Bombyx mori: one gene and its partners. The protein of the gene in region 3 purifies or fractionates together with the protein of the main gene of each other region. This does not show direct contact. Links are inferred from orthologs where the notes say so. Each region holds a gene or a part of one and is shown on either strand. Other genes may lie near its edges. The genes, in order: calcyclin-binding protein, protein CLEC16A homolog and E3 ubiquitin-protein ligase NRDP1.

Region 1 (7,134 bases), on a different chromosome or scaffold from region 3:
AAAAAAATTAAAGGAAACAAGAAACATGTCTTCCACGTATTCTTTATACAGAAGTAATTAAAACAATAATGTAGGTTTAATTACCTCTTTTTTACAAATATACTATATAAAATTTATGTATTAAACTAACACACTGTAAAATTTATAATCTAATTATTTACAAATATAATGTAATCTGATATCAAAGAATTTTTCTATAATCAGTTTAATTTAGGCTTATTTTATGGCTGTGTTCGTTTCCCCTAGAAAACAAATCCTTTTCTGCATATACGCTTAAAATATTTATACATACATATAAAGTTTTTATAATACTTTTTTGCATTGATTTGCCACCACCATTGAACAATTCTAGAATTTTTATAAGGGTTCTATATTTCTTATCCTCTTTCTTTCGCGACAATATATATCCATTGTGCACAGCGAAAAGGAGCTACTAGGAAATCTACAAACAAAAATAACATTATAAAATAACAAAACTACTCTATGCATTCCCTGTTCAATAATAGGTGATGTTTGTTACAATAGTTGGTGCCTTGTTGCAAGCATTGGCCAAACAATGACAATATTCGTAAATTGAATTTTATTTACTATATAATTCTTTTTATTATTTTATGAAATTCGTTTTATAATATAAACTTACCAAAAAAAGATATTCCTTCCAAAACCTTGGTGTTACGGTAGTTTTTTACTCAGTTTTTGAACGCGCAGTGCAGCGTTTTGACGTCTTAATGTTGGCTATGATTGGACCATACTAATTTGAAATAAGACCACAAATAAATTTGTGGTCTTATTTTTCGGGCCGTTTTTGAAGCGTTAATCGCGAATCTAGTAGTATTATTGATCGAAGTTTCGAACGAAATGTGGGCGATTGCGTAGTGTTAGTATGTACTAAGAACGCATGCCTACCTGCTACCTTGCTTAGACGGCCAATTTTCAGGTATCAGGTACTCAAGGTACATAAAATCATGACCTACTTCACGTATCTTCTGAAAGCTGATTTTTACGTATATTTTAGGCAATATCCTTAAAAATAAGTCGCCAATACTCCCAGACACTTTCCGTCGGCCGAATTGCTTTGCAGATGCTCTAAAGGGCCAATCATCCCTTAGATTCAATTTAATACCCTGTGGCGCATGAGACTGAGTGAGACATGTATTAGGATATATTGACCTCTCTGTCTCTCTATATCTCACAGTTGACTCATATCAATTAATTATTAATATTAAAAGAAAATCAGTTAAAAATTAAACAATCAGGTAAATAATTACTCAAATTATATATGGGAATTGGCCCTATTTTTATATATGTAACGTAATGATTTTTTTCGATTTCGTATATTTTTTTTTATTTCTTTAGTAGGCAGACGAGTACACGGCCCACCTGATGGTGAGTGGTTACCGTCGCCCATGGACTTCAGCAATGCCAGGGGCAGAGCCAAGCCGCTGCCTAACTATACATAATTAAATATATTTTTTTTTACCCGGGAGGATAAAATTCAAGAATAATGGTAGTCAAATGAGCATTTTTTTACAAATTAATTTTTAATTATTTACCTGTTTATTTAATTTTTAACGATTTTCTTTTAATATTAAAAATAAGTCGCCAATACTCTCAGACACTTTCCGTCGGCCGAAGTGCTTTGCAGACGCTTTAAAGCTCCCAAAATAATGACCTTACTTCATGTAAATTCTGAAAGCTGATTTTTATATATGTCCACCAGACAACTATTTTAAAACCTGTTACAAAAAGACAGACCGATCCAAGGGGCCAATCATCCCCTAAATTCAATTTAATACCTCTGTGGATAAGAGCGCGAGAGCGCATTATCCACGCGCATGAGACTGAGTGAGACATGTATTAGGATATATTGACTTCTCTATCTCTCTCTTACAGTTGACTCATATCAATTAATTATTAATATTAAAAGAAAATTAGTTAAAAAATTAAATAATCAGAAAATACGTGACATCTGGGGGCCCTGGGATCTTACTCTATAAAGAGCGCCTACAAAACGAGATTATTAAGTTCAAATATCTGATGAGGTGCCAACAAGCACAAGTGCAAGTGTAAGAAGAGAAAAATATGTACAATATTAAAGAAAAGAATGGGAAGAAGAATTTCCAGGCTGGATACTAAATAGTCGGTTTCCTTTGTTGTCTAATTTCATTTTTAATATTTTATCACTTCCCCATTCATCCGCTAACGTTGAACGCATATTTTCACATATTAATCTTTTGAAAACAAAACAGCAAAATAGGCTGCCTACTGAATCAATCACTGGTCTATTTAATGCAAAACGATTTTAATACAGCCAATTGTTATGATTTTGAAATTAAGTCGAAGAAGACCGTGCCTATGGCCAAAAATATTGGTATAAAAAATAATTATACATAGAATGATTGTTATAAATTAGTCTGTAAGTTTTTTTTCAATAAATCAACGAATTTTATTGAATATTGTATTTTTTTATTAAATACCGATTTTGGGTACATATATACCGATTTAACTGGCAACTATACCGATTTCGCTTTATGAGGGACTTTTTGGCGGAAACGCGAGGAGTGAAGTGGTATGATTTGTTTTATTTTGTCTATTCAGTGTTTCTTCAGGTTTAAATGTGTAATAACGGTGGTTTATTAACTGTTTAATATCTGTGAAAGCGCACAAATTTGGAAGAACTGTGGCTTTGTTTCAGCCACTGGTCGTAACTTCTCGGGATCCTCCAAAAACTCCACTAAAAATCTCAGTGACTCTAAATGACCACCATTTTACTAAGATTATATTTCATCCCAAATCATTTCATTTTATCCCAGTTGATTAATGTCTCAAATTAATCATTTTCATTTCATTTCGCTCCTCATTTTTAGATAAGTATAAGAAAATAACTAAAAATAAGACATGACTTAAAAGTCTTCATTACCAGGTCATAAAATCCTTAAAAAAATCGTTCTATGACGTTCGAGAGTAATCGAGAGCTCGAGCGAGATCATTGGCTTACTGTTCTAATATAAATAATCTACGTTACTGGACTTCAAAATAGCTGATTAACGTGCTTATTTGTGATTTCAAAAGATTTGCACAGCATACAAACAAACTGTTCATTTATAAAAATGTCAGAAGCAAAAATACAAGAGGTATTAATCACCCATCACTACATTCAGTAAATCAATGTAATCATCAATGTAAATCAAGTAAAATAAATCAGTAATTCATTAAAGACAATGAATGGAAATTCAATGTAACCTTCATTGCAATTTTTTCAGATAAGAAGCGATATCGAAGAGATCAATGATCTGTTAAAGCAAGCTAAACGTAAGAAAGTACAGGATTTACTCTCCTTGGAGATCAGAAAACTTGAGACAGAACTAATAACATTAAAAGAAAAGGAAACTTTGACGCCCATGGAAGTATCACCAATACCCACAACAAGTACATCAGCTCCAGTGCAAAAGAAGTATCAAGTCAAATTGAATGTATATGGTCAGTAATTTAGAATCATATTAATATATCTAGAAGTCTCTGTAGATGAGACTTGTTATTTACAGCTCCTATGGCCAACCTTGTGCGAAAAGAGATAAGTTCCCTAAATCCTTAAATAAGTGAGTCTATAGTGTATGTTTATCAGAATGTTCTGCATAAATGGTCTAACCTATTAATTCTTATAGCTTAAAAATATATATGTATATATTATATGTAAAGCTAAGTAAGTATACGTCACAAACTGATAACTTTGTCTGTACCTGAAAAAGGTCTTAAATTTCTTACATAGAGAGACAACAAAGAGACTCAATACAAGCTCAATAGTTTTATCCTATGAGAAGTAATAAAAAACCAAAATCGCCACTAGCTTGAATTACTTTGTAGACCAGCCTTTCCCAAAGTGGGAGATAACGCCCCCTTGTGGGCACTGCAGGCTTAAAGGGGGGCGGTGAGAGACCCAGAAAAAAATGGGGGCATTGATTAGGGGCTTGGGAGGCGATTTGTAATTTCATCTAGGAAGACTTAAACACCAGATGAGTCATAGGTTATAGTGGTTTTTAAGTAGGTGAAAAAATAGGAGTGCTAAAAAATAATTTATTAACAAACTGGGCAGTAGACAAAATGGGTTTGGGAACCCCTGTTATATCAGTGTAGAATAACACCACCCCATCTATTTTTGTAAATGTTCTAAAAGGCAATTAAGAGCTGCGAATGAGCAAATGCTAGTAAGGTACATTATAAAACTTCATAAGTTTTTTTATAGCTTACATTAGTGAATGAGTTCATGCTTCATTGGTGTTATGTGGCTACCAGAGCCCATAAATATCAACAATATAAATGCCTCTACTTACCTTGAGACATACTAATTTTCAGTGTTTATTGTACAATAGCTACCCAAGCTTTCAAACCAAAACGCATTACTTCTTCAAAGCAGAAATAGATAGGGTCGTGGTACTTACCTTACTATACAAAGTACCAACATCTGGTCTATTTCTGTAGCAGACCAGTAATTCTTCCTGGTTTGAAGAATAAGATAGTTTACAATACAGTTGAGAATTTGACCTCATGTCTCAAGATATATGCAGCATTCAAATTGCTACCTCTGAACAGCAGCTACTTTTTCACCATCAGGTGGGACAAAAGCTCATTCACCTCATATAATTAATTTATTTTTTCTCAAGTTTACCTATTGAACTGTGGATATTACAATGAAATCGTAATGATCAAATTTTGTATTTGTAGGTTGGGACCAGTCGGATAAATTTGTTAAGGTATTTGTTGAACTAAAGAATGTTCATACACTACCAAAGGAACAGGTATATTGTAAATTGACAGATAAATCAATGGAGCTGCATGTGGACAATCTGGAAAATAAAGATTACTTGCTTGTTATTAACAAGTTATTGGAACCTATAAATGTGGCAGACAGTCATTGGAAACAAAAAACAGGTAATAAATATAATTAATTAATAAAAAATATACGTATACTCTGGTTTTTCATTCACATTGTTGACGATTACCTTTTCAAACATGCTTCATTTGTTATTTAAAATGGCTCAAATAACAAAAGAATATCTATGCTAATAAGGCATTTGACAATAATAACATTTCTTTTCGCAGATAAGGTAGTCATATTCCTTGCAAAATCTAATCCAAACACAACATGGTCTCATATGACTGAAATTGAAAAAAAATTTGAAGACCAACGTAATAACCGCTTGAAACCTGCCGAAACTGACAAGAAAGATCCACAAGATTCCATAATGAGTCTCATGAAGAATATGTGAGTACTATTTATTTAACTAGAAATTAATGGATACTTAATTAATATTACATTAATAGTATGTATGTATCTTTAACATCAATACTCTAAGAGGTTACTCAAAACTTTCTTGGTTCCTTTCCAATGAAGAATACTTTATGCTAACAGATGCCTGAGAATACCTCAAATCAGTATTTTAAGTATATGATTTTGTTGTTTGAGATTGAAAAACATTTAACAATGTTTATATGATGACCAATATGGTTTTTATGTATTTCTCATTTAATTTTCAGGCTTAATGGGGACCATTTGTGTTGTTAATGTCATTCTCATCTTAAACAAAAAAAAATTAGAACAACTATACTCTAACATCATTACTCTTATGTTCTAATACATGGGTAATTTATTTAATTTCCAGGTATGAAACTGGTGATGATGAAATGAAGAGAATGATCTCCAAGGCTTGGTATGAAGGACAGCAGCGTAAGAAAACTGATATAATGGATTTATAAACTAAACTCAGCATAAATTCTGAATTGTATTCTGTTAAGCAGTAAAGAAATCGTGTATTATTAAAAAGATTCAGTGTTTGTTTTATTTCTGCCCTCTTTGCAAACATTTTATCGCCCAACCTTCTCTAACTGCGACGCTTGATGGCTTCTATCTCTTTAACACTGCAGTACAGTGAAACAGTACCTCTTGATAAACATATCGACAACTAAAACAACTTTAAATTTTTCATTCAGTGTTCAAGAATATGTTTTGTTATCGAGCAACACTTCCGGCCTCACATAATAAATTATTTACGAACTTAGGAAATATATAGAACTTATTATTCTTATAATATAATTAGTAATTACATAATCAAGTAAATAGTTCATTCATATTTTCTTTATACTTATATTTTATTGGCGCCTTCCGCTTGACAGCTTCCGGCGCAATAAACCTTAATGTTATTTGTTACATAATTCGATATTATTAAATAATAATTGTACGTAAATAATCAGCAGAATAATTAAGATGAACAATGTTTAATATTACCTACTCAGTTTGTATTAAAATAGGTCAAGATGATTGTATAAATACCGGCGGTTAGCATATCTCGGTGGCATTCGTATTCTACCCACCATAACGTGTACTAAAGAGAATATATTATTTCGTGTGGATGTAAATTGTCTCAATTGTCACCGCCACCCTGAGGATCCGTTTATACTTCAGAAGCGGGATTATGCTAGGCCCATACATTGACGAATTTGAGACCGCTGAGAAACACAGGCGATACAAAATGCGACGTGTCACCCAAACCGATGCGGAGGTTATTCCAACGTTCCGGCCGGATGAAAAATCTAGCAACGTCAAGGGATGGCTGCACAAGATCGACCAGTTGGATCACGTATATGGATGGGACAACAAAGACTGCCAGTTCATCATGCAGATATGTCTTCGTGGGTCGGCTAGGGATTGTGCGATACACCACCGCAACTATACTACACATCCGCGAATGGCTACCACATGGAGAAGGTGCTGTTGCTCCAGTTGCAAGAGGGACCGACTTTCAACCAAAGAAATGTTACGCCTGCCGAAGAGAAGGTCATGAAACAAAGAACTGCAAAGAGCCGCGCTGCGAGGTGTGCCATCGCCCGGGACACACGTCGGTTAGCTGATGGTATGCGGCCAGCTCTTCACACCCAAAAGTGAGTAATATCTTATTTACAACATACAGCGTATGCATAGATTTGCAAAAAAAAAATAGTGTTAATTAATGGCTCTAGTCTCATTGCATACATAGACATGGGCAGCAAATTAAATATTCTGTGTGGCATATGCTGATAAGTTAAAAAAATTAAAGATTGTCTTCCGTGGTTACAATGAGAGGTTTTGGAGGCTCATAC
Region 2 (6,345 bases), on a different chromosome or scaffold from region 3:
CTATCTCGTGCTAAGGCCTTTTTTCTTTACGAAAACAAATTTGGCAAATACGAGAAACAGATTACATTAAATAAAGATCGAACATAGCTGTAACTGTAAAGTAAATGTAACTGCAACTGTAACTGTAAAGTACTTAAAAATAAAAATAAAAGGATTCCCATCTGGTACGACCGATAAATACTTTCTTTAAAATCAAATGAACATTTGACTATTGGCATACCACCGTAAGGTTTCATTTTGAGGAAATTGTAGTTTAAATAATTCTTATACGTTCGTTTATATCTTTTAATATGGACGAAATTATACAGTCCATTTTAAGTGCTCACATTGAATAGTTTCTTGACATTAAATTGTCATGATAATATGATGATATTAATTTATCCCTAACGGGAAAGGCAAAGGACTTTAGTCCATACAGCCAGGTGTCATGATAATAATGAACATGACGCGACGTGACGGTTCTCAAACTTTGCAGCTGAAATCTTTTTTGTTATTAAGTGAATTATTATTTATATCTTCCAATTACATTTATCTGCGGTACGACATTTGGAGTCGCGGCGCTGGTGGAGGCGACGTTCCTCCGTATATCTTCGAGTGGTATTTCCTCTTGGTGGCCCCTCGGAGATCCCTCTCGGGAACCGCTGCTTCCTCTCGACACGCTACTGGAATGGCAACACATAGTGTCAATACACCTGTTTGACTATATTAACAAAATAATAAAAAGCTGCCAAACAGATATTTATTGAAATTTATTTAGTATGCTCAAAAGAAAATTGCAGTTTTATCTAATAATATTATACTAATAGTATAATTTATATATTTATATTTAATAATATTATACTAATAGTATAATTTATATATTAATATTTAATAATATTATACTAATAGTTAATATTTATTAAGAATCACACAGTTGTGAAAGGAATTAAATACAACTCATCTATTTAGGAAATAATTTTAATTGGTGTAGAGTTATAAAAAATAGAAAGAGAGCATAATTAATTTTAGTAGAGTTTGGAGGACAGGGGTGGTCTACAGAAAATCATTTTTGAAATATATTGTATGACCGACGTGTAAAATGACGTCATTGTTCAATTTAACGTAGTACAATATCAATGTCTAACACTAGGCATTACAGTAACAAAGTCGTTTGATAAATGCATTTAGCGAGAAGATATACATAATATTATTTATTATCTTTAATGATTATAAGTTGCGTACGCAAATTGAGTATCAGTTAAGAGAGACTTGATTTAGGCATACTTTAAAAGTTAAATTTGAATTCAACAGGTGTGGGTGTGTACCGACCTCTCTCTGCTCGTGGTTCGTTCTCGATAGACGACGATGCCGTCTTTCAGTAAGTGACCGCTCGGCCTTCGGAGCCTCCGCTCTGAGTCGTCGCCGTCGCCTCCTTTATGGAAATTTCAAGGTTACATAGGGTACTTTAGTGCATGACTTTTTGGCGGGAACGTGAGGAGTGAAGTTGTGTGATTTGTTTTATTTTGCCTATTTAGTGTTTTTTCGGGTTTAAATGTGTAATAATGGTGGTTTATTAACTGTTTAATATTTGTGAAAGTGAACAAATGTGGGAAAATGAAACAAAGCCGCTGGACGTAACTTCTCGGGATCCTCCAAAAAGTCCACTGATAAAATCTTAGTAAATGACCACAATTTTACTGAGATTATATTTCATGCCATATCATCTCATTTCATTTCATTTCATTTAATCCCAGTTGATTCATGTCTCAAATTAATCATCTTCATTTCATTTCACTCCATAATATCATTTTTCATAAAAATATGAATATAAATTAAAATAAGACATGGCTTAAAGGTCTCAGTTACCAGGTCATAAAATCCCTTAAAAAAAATACTTTAGTGCATCGAGCAAACGCTCGTGCGATGAACAAGGTTGTTTGCTCTTTGACTGGCTTTTTATCTTTACTAGTGGTCCCGCAGTAGTCGTAATTCGACTATAATTCATTGAAATTATAGTTTGAACATTATTATAGTTCTATTGTCAAAGACTATTATACTTCTATAATCAAAGATTTCGCCAAGACTACACTTTAGACAAATAATAGCAAAGACAAAAAATATTAAATCTATTCTCGATTTGACCATAGATAGACTTTATGCAATAAGAAAAGTTTGACCATAAACAAATAGTACGCATGTGTGTGTGTGTCAAATACATGTTTTTTTTTTTTATTGCTTAGATGGGTGGACGAGCTCACAGCCTTCTCTATATTCTCTATAAGTGTGGGAAATTTCATACTCCACCGTCTGCGCAATTTTCGTAAAAAGGGGTACAAAGTTCTTGCTTCACGTATTAATATATAGATATATGTCGGAGACGGTCAATAGTTTGGTAGCTAAACGAAACGCAGCACGATTCCCGAGAGATGGCAGCACGAAAACTTACTAATTTTACAGGAGAGTGTTTTAAAGTGTGTTAAACAACATGTGATATTTTTAATATTAATCATTTTTGCAACATTTATTTTTTATTTTTTACCAGTTACATTATCTGTATTTAAAAGTAAGATAAAATTATCTATTAATTTTGTTAATAGTATTCAAAACAGGAAAACTAAATAAAATAAAAAAACTAAAAACTAAACTACGCTCTTTTGACAGTATTTATGAAAAAAATACTGGTGATAACCAAACGATTCCGCATAATATTAATTATTAAATATTATTAATTTAAAATAAAACGATTCCGCATAATATTAATTATTAAATATTATTAATTTAAAATTAAATATTATTAATAATTAATATTATGCGGAATCGTTTGGTTATCACCAGTATTTTTTTCATAAATACTCTCAAAAGAGCGTAGTTTAGTTTTAGTTTTTTTATTTTATTTAGTTTTCCTGTTCCAAATTCGAAATTGAGTTAATACTCAATTTCGAATTTGGAAATTGTACACTTTCAATGAGAAAAGACGAATTGTGTTTGGATAGAACGTGCAATTGTACGGAACCTGTAGATCTCCTGATCGCCGAGAGGCCGGGGCGGGAGAACAGCGGGCGGGGGCGCGGCGCGGCGGGGGGCGCGGACACTCCCGACACTTCCAGCAGTCGCCCGATCTGCTGCATCTTCTTCTGGCGGGACTTCATGCGACCCTGTCAATTATTTACATCCAGTCAACTCATCAAGGTTCTGATCTTAATCGGAGAGCGATGATTGAAAGATTACTGGTGGCCCGGAGGCCTTTCCAGTTTCACCAGGATAGGTGGGCGAGCAAAGGCTCAATCAGGAGGACTGGGGTTAGCTAGCAACTGCCTGAGTGCCTCCGAAGGAGACATAACAACTGAAAAGCAACTGCTTCGCGAAAGAATCTACTACCGGGTCGGAATCGTGACCCGCTGAGAAGATCCGGCGAGAAACAGCGGGCGGATGCATGGGTTAGGTTACACGTCAAACTCTTTGCCGAGTTCGACGATAACGGTTAATTGATAACTTAATCACTGTACTTTTAAAACAAAGGCTTACATTTCGACTAACTATTCAAAAAATTCTTACATTTTTTATCCATTATCTACGTCAAACTGAATACGGATCATGACGTATTATGTCACTTGTGGCTATTTTTTTTATAGTTTGTTTGCACTCATGTTACGTGCAATGGGGATGCGTTAAGAGCCGCGACCCTTGTAAATTTACTGAGCCTACATTTCTAATGTAAACACCAACTTGAAATCAAACTTAACTTTCTCAGTTTAACATTGTGTTTACAATTTTCTTTTTTTATAATACCGTATAAATCATTAAATTTATTAAATGTCAAATATTTATAAAAAAAAGAACATAATATTCCTAACCTAAAAGTACATGTTATTATCCGCAACACGCTTCGTCAGATTACAGAAATAGAGTTATCAGCTCTTAAGGTGCTTCGTCAAAAAGTACAATACTTACTTTCAGCTGCAAGCGTCGTCATAAGTAACATATAGATCCACGCTAACAGCAATGCGCGCGTAGGCGTCGGCTAGTCAAACATCAGTAAGTAATATTAACTTAGTATATATCGTATACCTTAATGAGCCTCTGTTTGGCCGCCATGCTGCGTATGTAGTCGTCGAACTTGAACTTGGCCCGCAGCAGTAGCGTCCTGGGAAGCGCGCCCGTCGCGCCCACCCGCGGCTTGTGGATGGTCAGGTGGAGGCACCGCGGATCTTCCTTATCGCCTTGGATCTGAACAGACGGTGGGTAGGATCTCTTATGAGTCCGCACAGGTAGGTACCACCACCCTGCTGTGAAGCAGTAGTGCGTTTCGGTTTGAAGGGCGGGGCAGCCGTTGTAACTATACTTGAGATCTTAGAACTTATATCTCAAGGTAGGTGGCGCATTTACGTTCTAGATGTCTATGGGCTCCGGTAACCACTTAACAGCGTGGACTGTGAGCTCGTCAACCCATCTAAGCTATTTAAAAAAAGCGCATATTAAAGATACACGCGATATCAACTCGAACAAGGGCTATTTCGTTTTTCTTCGCCATTCGCAAGTCGTAAAGCATTCGAAACGTCGAAAATAATAACAATAAAAACGCGAGATCAATTGTCATTAATTGAATAACATTTTTTTGTTTTTAATTATTATCATTTTAATCTACTCTACTCCTATTCCGGAAATATTTAGATCTATTAATACACATTTAAGATTAATCAGACGTCTTAGAATGAAACCTATATATACTTCACATTTACAGATGTTGATTTCACATTAACAAGTTTGGGGTTGCCAGTACTCATAATTAAAAAAGTGTTACCAATTGTCGATTAAAAAAAATTTATTACGGATTTCTTCGACGTACCTAAACGTTTTCATTCCATCAAAGTTACCTCCAAATCCTGAAGGCTGCCCACCAGTTTGGCGACTCCCCACCCGAGCCTCTGTTTGTCCGGCTCGACGAGTATTATCTGCATGTTGTCGACGGCTAAGAACCTGTGCTGCCACGTACCATCCTTCTGTATTATGTCGCACGATATCAGATCGGAATCGTCTGCAAAATTCAATACTCATTACAACTATACATATTTATTATCTATACTTAATATTATAAAGCTGAAGAGTTTGTTTGTTTGAACACGTTAATCTCAGGAACTAGTGGTCCGATTTGAAGAATTATTTCAGTGTTAGATAGCCTATTTATTAAGGAAGTCTATAGGCTATATAACATTACGCTAAGGCCAATACAAGCGGAGCATCAATAAGAATGTTTCAAAATCGGGTTTTTTTCCCTTTTTAAGAGCTTCCGCTGCATACGCTGCAGAAACGGTTAAAGTTTCGCTAAAACAATGTATGACAGAATTGCTCCCCTTTAAAAGATTTTAAAAAAAGTCTGCGACGGCATATGTTTATATGTTAAGGTTGGCTCACTATAACGTTTTTTATGCTAACCAAATTTGTTCTAAAATAAAGCATTATTTGTGAACTATTCCACGCGAACGAAGTCGTGGGCAAAAGTTAGTTAATTATAAAAGCTACTTAAGTACATTTAATCACAAATAGGCAGGATGTTTTTATTTAAGCGTTTCCGTTCCATCGGACAAAACCCGGTGAACCCAGAAAAAAACAATTAAATGCCCAAAACACCCTCCTTTTTACTAATACAAGTGTTCGCACATGATCTTGCACGAGAATGTACCAATACGCTGCTTCGGCATAAAGGCACTGGTGCGTTCCGGTTTCAATATTGGCAACGCCATTCACCCAATGACCGCCTAACTGTAAATACTCCGAAAATCTAACGCAAAGCTTCTTTGTCTTGTTTTCGTAAGACAAAGGTCCTTATATCGTGACGTACGGACCAGATCACTATACCTGTAAACTAAACGACTTACTGAGATCCAAAACGTTGCCGACTTCGACAAACGGTGCCGGGTTCGTCAGAGGCAGTTGGTTTTCTGGTATCCCGCTCAACTTCAAGAACAGGTCTCGTATTAGGAAGAACGATCTTATCGCTCTACGGGCTCTCTCTATCTGAGATTGAGGCATAAAAGAAAAAATATTATAACTGTTGCTAAGAACTTAAGTTCGAAGCGTCTTTCATAGGTTTATACAGATATGTGTGCTTAGTGCGAGTTTTTTAGCGTTCTGGATAGCGTAAAAGTTAGCTCATATTTGTATGGAATGGGATCGTTTGCGTACGTTTGCCGCTAGGGGCGCTGTTCCAACTGCATTGGCATAGCTTTTACGTTATCGAGAACTTTATGAAACTCGCACTAAGCACACGGTAAGCCCAGCTAACTAAACCTACACACAAATGTATGGTCTTCGAATACAGACAAACATGCGGTCTCGCTGATGACGAATCAACAATCATCAATAACG
Region 3 (6,931 bases):
ATTATATTTCAATATTTATATTTATAGTATATTAGTGAGTTATTATAGAGCTTGCTTTTTGTAAGTATTTTATAGCTTATTTTTTGGTTTTCAAAGACTCAAAATCAATGATTCCATGTGGCCAGATTCCATGTGGCCAGATTAGGTATTATTTGAAAAGTCCTAAAACATTCGATGTACCTACTCGCGTTGCGATCTGTATATAATGCAAGCTGATACGAATTTTTCTTACATTATAGAGAATTACTTTTATCTTATTAAAAAATGTACATAATACCTGCAGAACATCATCTGGAGTAGAGATCATGCCACCCCACCTGGTGACCCTCGCCCTGGCCAGTGAGTTGGCCCAGCGCACCACCTCCTCGCGCTCCATCTGATCCGCCAATGCACGCATCGTTGGATTCGACACGCGCATCGCTCTCATGAACTCCTTCAAGAAAATGTTCCTGATTTAAAAGTGGTTAGATTTGCGCATCTCATTTTAATGGTTGCTTTATAGAATTCGATTAATCGAAATTTTTTAACTTAAGGAGACCAAGTTATTGTTTGTTATGTTTAAACTTTAACAAGTTAACTGATATTTATAAATATAAATTAACATAATGTTAAAGTTCACATTTCTTTTTATGTAGGTAATACGTAGGTAGAAAGAATCTACATTGAATGTGTTATTTAAGAAAAAACTACAAATAGTAAAAAAACATACCTTTAATAATGCCAATTCTCGTTTGTGCTCATTAATAACGAGCCTCTGTTCAGCCAGTTCTTGCTGGTAATCATTCAGCTTCCCCTGCTGAGTGGCTATCAGTGCTCTAAGCTCACGTACACAATTATGTTGGGCTAATTCATCTTTTGGTATCACCAGTCCACATCCTGCCTCACAAGGTATTGGTCGTTTAGGATTAAATTCACCTGTTCGACAGATTAATCTTATTAGCCATGTATTATCAAACACGGACATAATTTCATAACAGAAACAAATTATTTATGGTTTATATTTTTTACAATTTCGATTACAATAAATAAAATAATTTACACAAATAGACGACTTTTTAAGAATAAGTTAATGAAAGTGTGTCTTATTAGAAATGGGCCTTAGAAATGTGTCAATAAACTAATCTCACATATCATAATTGGATATTGGTGTTTTTTTTTCCTTATCATAATTATGTATGATTTACAAAACTGACAAGCTCTACAGTACAATTGGTATACAAATATGGCTATTAAAAAACATATTTCCATGATAGGCAGTTTAGTTAAAGTACACCTTTAAAGATATAGTCTATAGATGAAGACAAAACAGTTCAGTAATGTTCAGTTTAGTTCTTTCCCTGTTTATCCAGCAATTTACTTTTCGTTTTTATTTAGTAGCTTGTCAATACAAGCTTTGGTGTTATAAATAAAAAATTATTGGAAACAGATTCCTTCTCATTTTTTATAGAAAAAAATAAATAAGAAAATATACAAGCAATTGAAATGAATCTAATTCTTGAGGTGAGGTATTCTCTAAAAATTATTTTAAATAAGTTAGCTAAATCATCTTTGTACTACATATTTTATTACAATATCTTTTGTATTAATTCCTATTTGTCTTAATTAATTTTCTTACATTTATTTTCTATTACTTTATCAAACATAAATAGCCAACATTACAAATTTACTCTACAAACCACATAGATGTATGTACATCATATAGCATAATTTTAGGAAGGTGGTAAGACTTCTTGTGAGTCCGCACGGGTAGGTACCACCGCCCCGCCTATTTCTGCTATGAAGCAGTAATGCGTTTCGGTTCGAAGGTCGGGGCAGCTGTTGTAACTATACTTGAGACCTTAGAACTCAATCTCAAGGTGAGTGGCGCATTTACGTTGTAGATGTTTATAGGCTCCAGTAACCACTTAACACTAGGTGGGCTGTGAGCTCGTCCACCCATATTAGCAATAAAAAATATTATTGTTCTGATGCATACCATAGCATGCTCTGGTCTACTCTAAAAAGGATAGTAAAAGTCAACACTTACATTCAACTAAATGATTAGGTAGAGAGTCCAGTTTTAAAATGGCATTACAGCCATGTGGAGCATTGTCGCAACTTGTGCATAATCTGAAAAACATAATTGAATAAGATTATGATGTTAAACTCTAATTAAGTAAAAACTTTCATTATTGAAAGATTTCAGGTTTCATTTTTTCTCATTCATTCATATCATTGATGTGGCCATTGGCCACCGGAACGGAGTTCATCCATGCTATCTGGAACTCCTGTGTTCATCAAAAGTGCATTTCCACAGATCTTTTATGCCATGTAGCATAAGACTCTGGAATGAACTCCAGTCCACAAACAAATTAGAGATACTCAGCGATCAGCTATAACTTGACTGTGCCACCAGCATTGCTAATGTCCATGCTAACAATCAATTACCGTAAGGTGGGCCATATGCTCATCTACCTACAATGACAATGTAAAAGAATCTGGATGTTACAGTGTGTACAGAGAGTGTTAAAGTACTCAGAGACTAAATCACCTTCAAGCACAAAAAAAAAAAATCTAAATAAAGCTTTCAAGCAAGCTTGGTCCTGATAATTATGAACACAGCAAAATCTATCAAGTGTTTGATACTCCATAATCAATGTGGCAATTGATTATAAATATACAAATATAATAGGTATTCCTGGTATGTTTTTACATCTTTGATCACGTCTAAACCCATTTTTAGTTTCCATAGTGTGATAACATTAATTTGGAATATGAGCTTGAATGGATATTGATATGGCCATATTTCTATAAACCATTTAAAACCATTTAACCAAACCATTTAAAAACAAACAAATCTCTTCTAAACACATTTTGATTGCAATTTCACTTAAACCAATTACTTAAAATTTTAAACATAATTTTGCAGTAATTTAAGAAAAGTTTTCAGGGAAAAACAATCCTTTTTAGTTATGAAAGGTTTTTTGTTATCCATGTTTTTTCTTCAAGTAAAAACTCAATGTGGCAGGAATGACCATAGTTACTAATAAATAGAAAACCAGGACCATGTTATTATGTAACCAGAGAACTGGTTTTGTGCTGATTATTAATGTGGTGACAACATAACTAGGTCAGTTGACGAGATCATTTCCAGTTAATGTAGCAATCAATTTAAATGTGTATTATGAAATTGTTTTCTTTGCATAATTAAGATAAAGGTTATTGTACCTAAAGCTTAAATAATTACTATTGAATAATAATCAAAAGGAAAAAATTTTTTCATTACTTTATTTTTGCGGATATTTTCTGATAAGAGTCTATTGTTTACCATAATTTTAAAATGAATTTGAACATTTTATTATTGACTATAATCCATTCTAAAAATTAATTAAACTACTGTTTAAAGTACAAAACACAGTACTACTAAAGTTACTACTCAATTTTTAGGTATAAAAATATTGAAAAATACTATATTAGTGGCTAGAAGAAAACATTATAGTTATAAAAGGTCAAACAATTAAGTTTTTGACCTACAAAAAGACAGTAAATTCACAAATTCTAGTAAAGAAATTCACTCGCCTGGACAGAAGGTTGCGCAGTATCCTTGGAACTGGCCTTAGCTGACTCGCGGTTACCGTTTGCCGGTCTACAGGACAGGTAGGCTGTCTACTGATCCACTCCGTAATACAAGCTCGACAAAACGCGTGCTCACAAGCAGGCGCCTGGAATCATCACAATTGTCACTCTAACCACAACTTTTGTTATATTTTGCACTCATCTTGCTATTATTTACCTGTAACGGGTCTTCGAGGACTCCGGAACAAATAGGACAAATAAGCTCCTCATCGACGTCACCTTGAAACCTTTTGATTTCAAAGCCCATAATTAATATTTATCACAAAATATACATTAGTAAGATTTTGGTATCTTAAAGTTAACTTTTTATGATCATACTATAGTAAAAAACAAGGTTTGAGTTCAGATAAGTTGAAAATAAACTAATTATTTACAGTCAGACGTATAGATTTGGTTTACTCAGGTTCATAGATTATACACTTAATATATTAGAGACTCAGGTTTACTGTACAAAAGCTTTTTTTTTTTTAATTTTATGACCTGGTATCTATTAGACCTTTAGGCCAGTACAAAAGCTGTTTTATTAATCGGTGCTATCAGGTTCAAAAAACTAAATGGCCGTTTTCCAATTACAGCACAAGAGCCCTGTAATAAGAGAAAACCTTTACTAAATATAAGGTTTTAATAAGCTAAAATTAACAGTAAAATTTGCTTTGATTACATTAGGTACATTGACAAATAACGAATAAAACAGATTGACAATGACGTCAACTTATGGCTGATAATTTCAACTAAGAAGTTTACATCATTCTCCCGCACTATTTTAAAACATAATCTTTTAAAAATCCTGGCGTTTTATGGACGCGACCAAATCTACGAAGTGTTGGCTCCGGCGGTGGTGATGATGGTAATTCTGTCTCTAGCTCTCTGTTATTATCAAGTACCACAGGTCCCGTTTTATTAGATGAAGGAATCTCCAAGTTTTGGTCTTCTGTTTCCGGAAGTGGTTCTGCGACGTTATGATAATCAATAGTGTGTTCATTATCTATTCGCAGATCTACCCTTTCTGAACCCAATGGTGCTAGATGATGATTCGACACTGTTGTTTCTCGGCCATCTGGAAGCCGAATGTATGAAAAATCAGGATTGCTGTGTATCAATTCAACCTCTTCTACTAATGGCTGATATTTATTTGTACGATTAAATTTCTTCATCAAGACTTGTCCAGAATTTGTAAGCCACGATGGAACAGAAGTGCCGTTTGTAGATCTTCGAGGGTGTCTATACATTCTTTCATGTGGAGTGCAATTTATGGTTGTACAAAGTAATGATCGGATTGAATGTAAGGCTTGTGGTAATACTTGTTCCCAATTTTCTACCGAAAGATTCTTCGTCTTCAGCGCCAAAAGAATCGTTCTCCAAAGAGTAGAATTCAATTTTTCTACTTGACCGTTACCTTGAGGGTTATAAGCTGTAGTTCTACTAGTGGCAATACCTCGAACATGTAAAAATTCCTGTACTTCAGCAGAAAGAAATGCTGTTCCGCGATCTGATTGAACGTAAGAAGGCATCCCAAATATCATAAACAAGTTGTTAAGATGCTTAATCACTGTTTTCGAGCTTACATCTGAGCATGGGAATGCAAACGGGAAACGTGAAAATTCGTCAATCACGGTAAGTATGAATTTGTTATTATTATTTGTTGGAACTGGTCCTTTAAAATCTATGCTAAGGCGTTCAAAAGCAGCCGTCGCTTTAACAAGTTTCCTCTGGTCATCAAAGGTATTTCGGAAGAATCTATGTTTTATTTCAGAGCAGGTTCGACAAGATTTTGTCATTGTTCTGACTTCTTCAATAGAATAGGGAAGGTTTTTAGAGCGAACCCAGTGAAACATTCTTGTTACCCCTGGATGACAAAGAGCTTCATGCAGCGAGAAAAGTTTTGCAGTACGTGTTTCTACAGTGGCACAAACTCGGGATAGTGCATCAGCAGCATAGTTCTCTTTCTCCGGTTTGTATATAATATCGTATTTGAAAGCAGCAAGTTCCAGTCGCCATCTTTGAATCTTTTCATTCTTTATCTTACTTGAATGTTTCATATTAAACATAAAAGAAACCGAGCATTGGTCAGTTACCAACTTAAAGTGTCTACCAATAAGGAAATGTGTCCATTTCTTCAATGATTCCACAATGGCGTACGCTTCTTTTTCAATGGCGGAATGGTTTTGTTCGCTTGAATTTAACGTTCTTGAGAAAAACGCCACTGGTCTAGAATTTTGCGTAAGTACTGCTGCAATGGAATGATTGGAAGCGTCAGTTTCCACTGTAAAAGGTATATTTTCATCAATTGCATGTATAGAAGACTTTACGATATCATTTTTCAAGCCTTCGAAACATTTAATTTGCTCGCTTGCGAGTGGAAAAATCGTCGTATTAGCAAGTGAGTGGATCCGTTCAGAAAATTTTGGAATCCACTTAGAATAATGTGCGAACATGCCGAGTGTCCTTCTTAAGGTCGGTAAATCGCTTGGTGGAGGTAAATTAATCAGTGGCTTGAGTCGCTCATTGTCAGGTTTAATTATGTGGTTTTGAATATTATAGCCTAGAATATTAATTGACTTTTGAGAAAATTTGCATTTTTGTATACTCAGTGTTAAACCGTATTTCTTTGCGGCATTCATAAAACTTTCTAAGTTATGATCGTGTTCTTCAAGAGTACGGCCAGAAATAGTTATATCATCAAGATACGCATATGTGTTTTGAAGCTTCTCTTTTCTTATAATCCAATCGATTGTTCGTTGGAAGCTCGAAACACCATTTGTTACTCCAAAAGGAATACGCCTGAACTGGTACAAATTTCCCAGTGCTTCAAAAGCGATAAATTTTCTTTTTTCGGGTAGTATAGGTACTTGATGGTACGCGTTTTTTAGGTCTATTAGGCTGAAAAATATATTCTTTGCCACTTTCGAAACTAAGTCCTCAATGTTTGGTAAAGGATACGCGTCGAGTTCTATGTAACGATTAATTGTCTGAGAGTGATTACTGAAGAACGCCTTGTAATTGATTAATTACAAGGCGTTTTTTATGAGTTTCGCTTTTTGTTATTAGTACTTGGGCCTTCCACGGTGATTTACTTTCTTCAATCACGCCCTCTGCTATAAGATTTCTGATTTCTTCTTTAATAAATTCACTATCCTCTTTGTTGTGCCTTCGAGACTTTATAGCAATAGGTTTGCAGTTGGGAGATACATTCGCAAAAAGCGGTACAGCTGGTACTGATGCTTCAGCTACGTTACATACTTGAAGTGGATGTTTTGGCCCACCGAAAGAGAACTCTAGCGATGAATGTTCTTCGAGGACGTCATGGCCAATAATT

Evidence for each region.
Region 1: the proteins of E3 ubiquitin-protein ligase NRDP1 (region 3) and calcyclin-binding protein purify together in Homo sapiens (affinity purification with mass spectrometry; 4 studies listed by BioGRID and IntAct, with this or other methods). This does not show direct contact. The link is inferred for Bombyx mori from reciprocal best matches to the Homo sapiens genes RNF41 and CACYBP.
Region 2: the proteins of E3 ubiquitin-protein ligase NRDP1 (region 3) and protein CLEC16A homolog purify together in Homo sapiens (affinity purification with mass spectrometry; 3 studies listed by BioGRID and IntAct, with this or other methods). This does not show direct contact. The link is inferred for Bombyx mori from reciprocal best matches to the Homo sapiens genes RNF41 and CLEC16A.

What each region holds. Positions count from the first base shown.
Region 1 is NC_085109.1:7,246,636-7,253,769, reverse strand, and holds calcyclin-binding protein, read left to right. Parts: upstream 1-2,933; 5' UTR 2,934-3,110; coding exon 3,111-3,134; intron 3,135-3,263; coding exon 3,264-3,480; intron 3,481-4,722; coding exon 4,723-4,929; intron 4,930-5,100; coding exon 5,101-5,263; intron 5,264-5,660; coding exon 5,661-5,754; 3' UTR 5,755-5,827; downstream 5,828-7,134. UniProt on the Homo sapiens protein: May be involved in calcium-dependent ubiquitination and subsequent proteasomal degradation of target proteins. Probably serves as a molecular bridge in ubiquitin E3 complexes. Participates in the ubiquitin-mediated degradation of beta-catenin (CTNNB1).
Region 2 is NC_085123.1:11,734,831-11,741,175, reverse strand, and holds part of protein CLEC16A homolog, read right to left. Parts: intron 5,995-6,345; coding exon 5,856-5,994; intron 5,015-5,855; coding exon 4,854-5,014; intron 4,207-4,853; coding exon 4,048-4,206; intron 3,135-4,047; coding exon 2,993-3,134; intron 1,412-2,992; coding exon 1,309-1,411; intron 663-1,308; coding exon 527-662; intron 1-526. UniProt on the Homo sapiens protein: Regulator of mitophagy through the upstream regulation of the RNF41/NRDP1-PRKN pathway. Mitophagy is a selective form of autophagy necessary for mitochondrial quality control.
Region 3 is NC_085128.1:13,443,227-13,450,157, reverse strand, and holds the start of E3 ubiquitin-protein ligase NRDP1, read right to left. Parts: upstream 4,069-6,931; 5' UTR 3,863-4,068; coding exon 3,773-3,862; intron 3,702-3,772; coding exon 3,559-3,701; intron 2,110-3,558; coding exon 2,027-2,109; intron 1,142-2,026; exon of another isoform or gene 916-1,141; coding exon 710-915; exon of another isoform or gene 434-709; coding exon 275-433; intron 61-274; exon of another isoform or gene 1-60. UniProt on the Homo sapiens protein: Acts as E3 ubiquitin-protein ligase and regulates the degradation of target proteins. Polyubiquitinates MYD88. Negatively regulates MYD88-dependent production of pro-inflammatory cytokines.